2 linked regions of the Macaca fascicularis genome follow. The protein of the gene in region 1 interacts with the protein of each later gene in a pairwise test. Links are inferred from orthologs where the notes say so. Each region holds a gene or a part of one and is shown in the gene's direction. Other genes may lie near its edges. The genes, in order: EGLN3 and FOXJ2.

Region 1 (3,817 bases):
ATTAGAATTAATGATTAATTTTTTTCAGTTTAAATCAGAGTTGCTCTGACTCTCAATGCAGAATAAGATGTACACTTTTCCCTCCCAGAAGCAGCATTGGGAAAGTTCCACAAAAATAGAACTGTAGGATATAAAACCATCCCCAAGAGAGATTTCCCACACAGTCCTCTCCCTCAGGGTGATATGTCTCATTGATCGCTGCTTGCCATGGCTTACTATGGTTTGTGAATGCCAAAGGCTTTGTGGCTTATTTTTGTATTATAGAACTTATAGATAGATGGAGATATGAAGCCTGGTTCCATGCTCACAGACATTTGTGTGGACTCTGTATGCTTTCCGAAAGTTAAGAATGATTTAGGAGTCTGGGAAGTCAGATAACTTTTCAAGCTTATTTGGCTTTTGAACCTTCTGCATCTCCATTTCCTGTTCATTAGGCAAATACTGGCTGTCGTAAAGCAATAATATTTTATCCAAAGTCAGAAAAACGAAACTTGGGAAACCATCGAATCAGTGAAAAGGCCTATCTCTTCTCCCTGTTTGGTAACATCTCTGGAATACATTGGTAACATGACTGGGGTACATCCATTAGGTCGTCTTTAAAATCTTGAGAAGTGCTAATAGAGACAAGAGAATAAAGTTATCAGATTGGTAATGACAAATTGGAAGGTCTGCAATCATTCAACAAATATTTGAGTTCCTGCTAGTGTCAGTCATTGTATTATGAAGAAACATTGATGTGTGAGGCCTGAACTCTACACTGAATAATGTTATTCTAGTAGGATGAAATAGGTTGACGTGTAAAAGAAAAAGTAATTCAAGGAAAACAGTGATATATGTCATAAAAGGTGCAGATTAGGTGGTCTGAGAGTTCAAAAAAAAGAGCATGTAACTTCCAACTAACGAGGTCAGATAGGAGTTAAGGGAGTTCAGAAGAGCAGTAAATTCTAATTGAAGGGGAAGTTACATGTGATGATTTTCTTAGAAAGTTGTTAATGGTTAGATGGAACCATGTGAAATTGCTGGGTATTTTTTTTAAAGTCAAAAACACTCAAATATTAGCAAATCTGTATGATTCAATCTAATAGTACTCTATTTTACGTCCATGGGCTTTATGACTGGGGGGGGTGGTGGGAATGCTTTTTTTGGTTTAAGGTGAATAAGGAGGTATCTCTAGCCAAGTTTGGTATAAAATTTGGTACAAAGTGGCCAGGCGTGGTGGCTCATGCCTATAATCCCAGCACTTCAGGAGGCCCAGGTGGGTGGATGACCTGAGGTCGGGGGTTCGAGACCAGCCTGACCAACATGGGGGAAACCCCATCTCTACTAAAAATACAGAATTAGCTGGGCATAGTGGCACATGCCTGTAATCCCAGCTACTCAGGAGGCTGAGGCAAGAGAATTGCTTGAACCAGGGAGGTGGATGTTGCAGTGAAACGAGATCATGCCATTGCACTCCAGCCTGGGCAACAAGAGTGAAACTCCATCTCAAAAAAAAAAAAAAAATTTGTACAAAGTATGAGGTTGAAGTAAAAATCTGGGGTACCATGCATTTGGAGTGGTGGTTAGCAGATGGCATGTTTCTAAATGGGGCTGAAATATGGTTGTCGATAAACTACATGAGAGGTAAGAAGTAATCCCCCTTCTTTGTGTCTTTAAGCTACATGGTGGGATCCTGCGGATATTTCCAGAGGGGAAATCATTCATAGCAGATGTGGAGCCCATTTTTGACAGACTCCTGTTCTTCTGGTCAGATCGCAGGAACCCACACGAAGTGCAGCCTTCTTACGCAACCAGGTAATAGCCGGAGCCATGATTCCTCTTCCGGAGTTCGTTGTATAAACCCTAGTTCCAGGGAACTCTCTAAACGTGTCCTGTGCATGTGGGGGATTGATCACACCCCATAGCTGATAGCGAACTTGTTTGGAGTCTACAAAAATTAAAGGGGAAGCTTTGCATTCTTTAGCATACCAAAGCTAACCTCAGTTTGAAAGTACTATTAACAAGTTGTTTTCTATTAGGTGAGCATATTGGATTCCAATTTCTCAAGAGTATTTTTCTCTTCTCTCCGTTCCTCCTTTCTCTTACCTCTCTTTCCCTTTTTAAAAAAACCTACTGTTGAACTATGCCTAGAGAATGTTGGCTGTCACATATCAGGAATTCTGTCTGGTTACTTTGGATGAGTTTACAAGCCACTAGTTGCAAGCAGAGAAAGAACCTTGAGAAAAGAAAGAGTAATTTGTTTTGACTTTCTCTTTTTGTCTATTCCTTGGTTTGAAATTGGCTTGGGCTTGCTGTATCCATGGTCCAACAGTTGAATGTTTTATTAATCTTTTCTTTATGTGCACATGAAGATTCTCAGAGTAGCTGAGCACCTTAGTATTGTTTAGGACCAATTTAGACAATCTTGATAAAAATCTTCATTCTCAATTGTGCTTCTTATTTACCTTTGTCTGTGTCTAAAGCAATAAACCAGGCAGCATTGGAGGGCTACGGAGTGCAGCTTATACTGAGACTAGCATTCAGGGGCAGGAGGAGAGAGTTTTGATAGGATGATGATTAAACCCTGACAAGCCTAATTAAATTAAGATCACATGTGTCCTCCCGAAATCACACAGCTTAGCCCTAAACCCAGTTACATATTAACTGCCACATTGGAATGTCTTCTAGATGAGCAGGGAACGAATTCTACCACTGAAGTCAGCTTTTGTGTTTTATGGGGTATGTGACTAAACCCTGTTGTTTGTGGCAGAAGCCTTTGGTTATTCCCCAGTATCATGATGACTGGCCTTACAGGGAAAACATTAGCAAATTTGATGAGAAGCCCTTGAAAAAGACTCAAGTGCTGTAGAAATTTCAGTAGCTAACAATCATTACAAAATGAAACTTTTAAAAAAACCAAGTATGAAATGGTTCCCATTATAGTCTATCCAATGAATGGGATAAAGCAAATTAGTGGGGGGATGCAGTAGAAAGCTCTGGGGCATTATTATTATTCAATTGCAATTTTGCCTCAATGTCCAAAACTAAAGAAAGCAAGCCAAGAGTTTTAAACATACTGTGATTTACATAAGTCGTTTTTCAAAGCTTCACTCAAATGTCATCTCTCCTCTATGTTCTCGCTACCAACTTGGGTCTCCCAGTCTTTAGCAGAATGACTCCCTTCTAGTCCTTTCTGTAGAGACCATGTTTACCTGTTACATTATTGCAAAATCACCTGTCTCCCCTACTTTGAGCCTGAGATCACAGAGGAAGATCTGATCACAGGGTCATTTGAATTCCTAATGCCCAAGAAAATTTCTGGCACATACCTGGAATTCCTTATGCATTTTATTACACTGAAATAGAATTAAAACCAGAGAAGTTAATTTTAAATTAAAATCAGGGTAGACAGGCCGGGCACAGTGGATCACACATGTAATTCCAGCACTTTGGCAGGCCGAGGCGGGCAGGTCAAGAGATCGAGACCATCCTGGTCAACATGGTGAAACTCCATCTCTACTAAAAATACAAAAATTAGCTGGATGTTGTAGCATGCACCTGTAGTCCCAGCTACTTGGGAGGCTGAGGTAGGAGAATCGCTTGAACCTGGGAAGCGGAGGTTGCAGTGAGCTGAGATCGTGCCTCTGCCTGGCAACAGAGTAAGACTCCATCTCAAAAAAAATAAAAAAATAAAAAAATAAAAAAAATTGGCTGGACGCAACGGCTCATGCCCGTAATCCCAGCACTTTGGGAGGCCGAGGCAGGTGGATCACAAGGTTAGGAGATCAAGACCATCCTGGCTAACATGGTGAAACCCCGTCTCTACTAAAAATATAAA
Region 2 (3,817 bases), on another chromosome or scaffold:
GAGATCACTTACATCATGTGTTTCTGTTCAGGATTCTGAACTTTGAGGCCGTCTAGTCCTGGCTCCTCAGGAGAAATGCCCTGGTGGGACTGAGGAAGACAATGTTAGCTGGAATCTGGCGGCTGTGCAGGCACAAACCTGTTAGGCAGCAAGTGCTTAGGGGTTGCTGGCATCAGCTCTAGGGGAGTGCCAAATGGCTACCTAGTGCTTCCTGCCAGCCTTTCTAGACCCTGCAATACAGATAGCACCCATCGTTCTTCACTTTCCCTCAGCAAGACGTCGCTGTAGCTATACCTCTCTGCTGGGAAGAGCGCCCAGGCAGTGTGGGTGGCAGCAGGGCGTGCAAACATCAGGCGTAGGCGGTCTGGCAGCTCCAGGAGTTTGCATGGAGGTGCAGCGAGCGTGCCTGCCTGGCTGGAAGGAAGGAGGGAGGAGGAGGGCGGAGAAGGGGAGCCAGCTCCGAGTCCCAGAGTGGCTATTTTTAGCCAGGCTATCTGATTGTTACCGGTAGGCACACAGCTGGGTGTCTCCCTGGCTGGGTGAAGCCCAGCAGGCTGAGAGGTGGGAGGTCCTTGTGGATGACTTCTTCCTGGTGGTGGTGTCTGTGGGCGGGAGCATGCAAGGGGTAGCTTAAAAAGTGTGAGGGCAGCTGTGTACTCAGGATGTGTTGCTTCTGTGTGTGACTTTGTGCTCTGGTGGTAATGTATGCTGTATATGTAATCGTGATCTCTGTGTATGTGCTTCACTGTTTATGTATCTGTCTGCTGGTTGTCATGTATAATTTATGCCTGGGATATACCTAATATGCCTCAGGTGCACATGTGTGGGGGATAAAAAGGGCAAGTGCTCGTAATATATCTAGTAGGAAACGTCTTTAAAAGTGTTGGTGCGTGCTTCATCCATGTATGTTTGTATTTAGGTAGACCTTTTCTTTACGTGGACATTCATGCCATCTGTCTGGATGTTGTATGAAAATACAACAGGTGTCACATGATTGGAGAATGGACTTTAATTTCACCTGCTAAGTGGGGTTTTTCTTTTTTCAAACTCATTCCTACATCGTTTAAAAATACTATGTTGTAGGGCTATAAGTAAGGTGAATTGAGGAAATAGCTCAATTTGGTGTGAAGTTTGATCTCTTTTAGTCCTATATGGAGAGGCCTTTTGGCCGTGCTCCACGTTAAGCTGTAGGGTAACTAGCAGTCCATCATCTGGTAGATCTGCTTGGGGATTCTCGGAACACCTGGTGGAAGGCCATGCCGTGGGTGTCTGATGGGAATGAGAGCAGTAAGAAACTCTCCTTCCCTCAAACAAAAGGATTTGAGTATTACTTGCCCCCAGTCTTTTCGTCTCCTCTTTGTCTTCTTCTCTGCAGAAGCCAGAAGTACCATGGCTTCTGACCTAGAGAGTAGCCTCACCTCCATAGACTGGCTTCCCCAGCTGACCCTCCGAGCTACCATTGAGAAGCTTGGAAGTGCCTCCCAGGCTGGGCCTCCCGGGAGCAGCCGCAAGTGTTCACCAGGCTCACCCACAGATCCTAATGCCACCCTGAGCAAAGATGAGGCAGCAGTTCACCAGGATGGCAAGCCACGATACAGCTATGCCACTCTCATCACCTATGCCATCAACTCCTCTCCAGCCAAGAAGATGACTCTCAGCGAGATTTACCGCTGGATCTGTGATAACTTCCCCTATTACAAGAATGCTGGCATTGGTTGGAAGGTGGGAATGCTTCTGTAATTTTGGCTTAGATTTAGCCTTCAACAACCTTTTTCTCTACTTTTGTTTCTTCCTGTAACCTGTTCAGTTTACTCTGGCTTGTCTCAGAGATGTGAAAACTTAAAATCTCATATGTTCTGCCCCCTACTGTTTTTCAGAGTTGAACAACTTTTATAAGGTATATCAGGGAAGCTCCAAGCCATTAAGTATAGTGATGGGGATGGCGGGATACTGTTGCTTGTCACACCCTCTTATCTTCATTTTTTTTTTTTTTTTGAGACAGAGTCTCGTACTGTCGCCTGGGCTGGAGTGCAATGGCATGATCTCGGCTCACTGCAACCTCCACCTCCCAGGTTCAAGCGATTCTCCTGCCTCAGTTTCCTGAGTAGCTGGGATTACAGGTGCCCGCCACCATGCCTGGCTGATTTTTTTGTATTTTTAGTAGAGACAGGGTTTCGCTCTGTTGGCTAGGCTGGTCTCGAACTCCAGACCTCATGATCTGCCCACCTTAGCCTCCCAAAGTGCTGAGATTACAGGCATGAGCCACTGTGCCCGGCCCGCACCCTCTTGTCTTCTGATCCCTCAAAGAGGATATTCATTCATTTCACAAATGTTTATTACCATTCTACGATGTTCCAGTCACTATGCAAGGCATGGCATCACTCCTTCCTACCTAAAGGTAGGAATCTAATCTAGATCATCAGATTTCCATAGCTCCATTGCACAGTCATCATCTTTTGAAAAGCTGCATTCCAAGAAAAATAATAATATAATTAGGTTCTTTACCAACAGCTGGCTACCAAGCAAGTAATGAGAAGCTAAGTTGTTTGGCTGGAGATGAAGAAAGAAGGGGCTCTTCTCCCAAGCAAAGAAGGAAGGCTGATATGCTCAATTTTTTGGAGCAGTAGCTCATTTGTCAATTGCTGAGTAGGAATGGGAACTTAATATGTAGTTCCCTCACTCTGTAAATCCCCATTTGACGTACAAACCATGTAGTGAGTTGGAGACTATTGAAAGCACTCAGCTTTCTTTTCTTTTTTTTCTTTTTTTGCAGGGGTGGGGGACAGGGTCTCACTCTATTGCCTAGACTGGAGTGCAGTAGCATGATCTCGGCTCACCGTAACCTCCGCCTCCCGGGTTCAAGTGATTCTCCTGCCTCAGCCTCCCGAGTAGCTGGGATTACAGGTGTGCGCCACTGCTGCCCGGCTAATTTTTGTATTTTTAGTAGAGATGGGGTTTCACTATGTTGGCCAGGCTGGTCTGGAACTCCTGACCTCAAGTGATCTACTCGCCCTGACCTCCTAAAGTGCTGGGATTACAGGTGTGAGCCACTGCACCCGGCCTCTTTTTTTTTTTTTTTTTTTTTGAGACGGAGTCTTGCTTTGTGGCCCAGGCTAGAGTGTAGTAGTGCAATCTTGGCTTGCTGCAACCTCCTCCTCTTAGGTTCAAGCGATTCTCCTGCCTTAGCCTCCCAAGTAGCTGGAATTACAGGCACCTGCCACTGCAACCAGCTAATTTTTTTTGTATTTTTAGTAGAGACGGGGGTTTCACCATGTTGGCTGGGCTGGTCTCGAACTCCTGACCTCAAATGATCCACCTCCTGCCTTGGCCTCCCAAAGTGCTGGGATTACAGGTGTGAGCCACTGCACCTGGCCTCTCTTTTTTTTTTTTTTTTTTTTAAAGACAGGGTCTTGCTGTGTCACCCAGGCTGGATTGTAGTGGTACAATCACAGCTCACTGGAGCTTGAACCTGGGCTCAAGCAATCCTCCCACCTCAGCCTCCTGAGTAGCTTGGACTACAGGCGTGTACCACCATGCACAGGAATTTTTTTTATTTTGTAGAAATGAGGTCTCACTATGTTGCCCAGGCTGGTCTCAGGCTCCTAGACTCAAGTGATCCTCCTATCTCGGCCTCCGAAGATGCTGGAATTACAGACATGAGCCATTATGCCTGGCCCACTGAGCTTTGCCTTTGTAAATATGTCCCTCCTAGCTACCATAACCCCCAACCCCACCCAACACACACATTTTTTTTTTTTTTTTTTTTGAGATGGGGTTTCGCTCTTGTTGTCTAGGCTGGAATGCAGTGGCATGATCT

The links.
Region 2: the proteins of EGLN3 (region 1) and FOXJ2 interact in binary tests that used the Homo sapiens proteins (3 or more experiments, as listed by UniProt). The two-hybrid records come from large-scale screens. The link is inferred for Macaca fascicularis from reciprocal best matches to the Homo sapiens genes EGLN3 and FOXJ2.

What each region holds. Positions count from the first base shown.
Region 1 is NC_088381.1:101,736,742-101,740,558, reverse strand, and holds part of EGLN3 (prolyl hydroxylase EGLN3), read left to right. Parts: intron 1-1,657; coding exon 1,658-1,794; intron 1,795-3,817. UniProt on the Homo sapiens protein: Prolyl hydroxylase that mediates hydroxylation of proline residues in target proteins, such as PKM, TELO2, ATF4 and HIF1A. Target proteins are preferentially recognized via a LXXLAP motif.
Region 2 is NC_088385.1:12,668,642-12,672,458, reverse strand, and holds part of FOXJ2 (forkhead box protein J2), read left to right. Parts: intron 1-1,375; 5' UTR 1,376-1,389; coding exon 1,390-1,722; intron 1,723-3,817.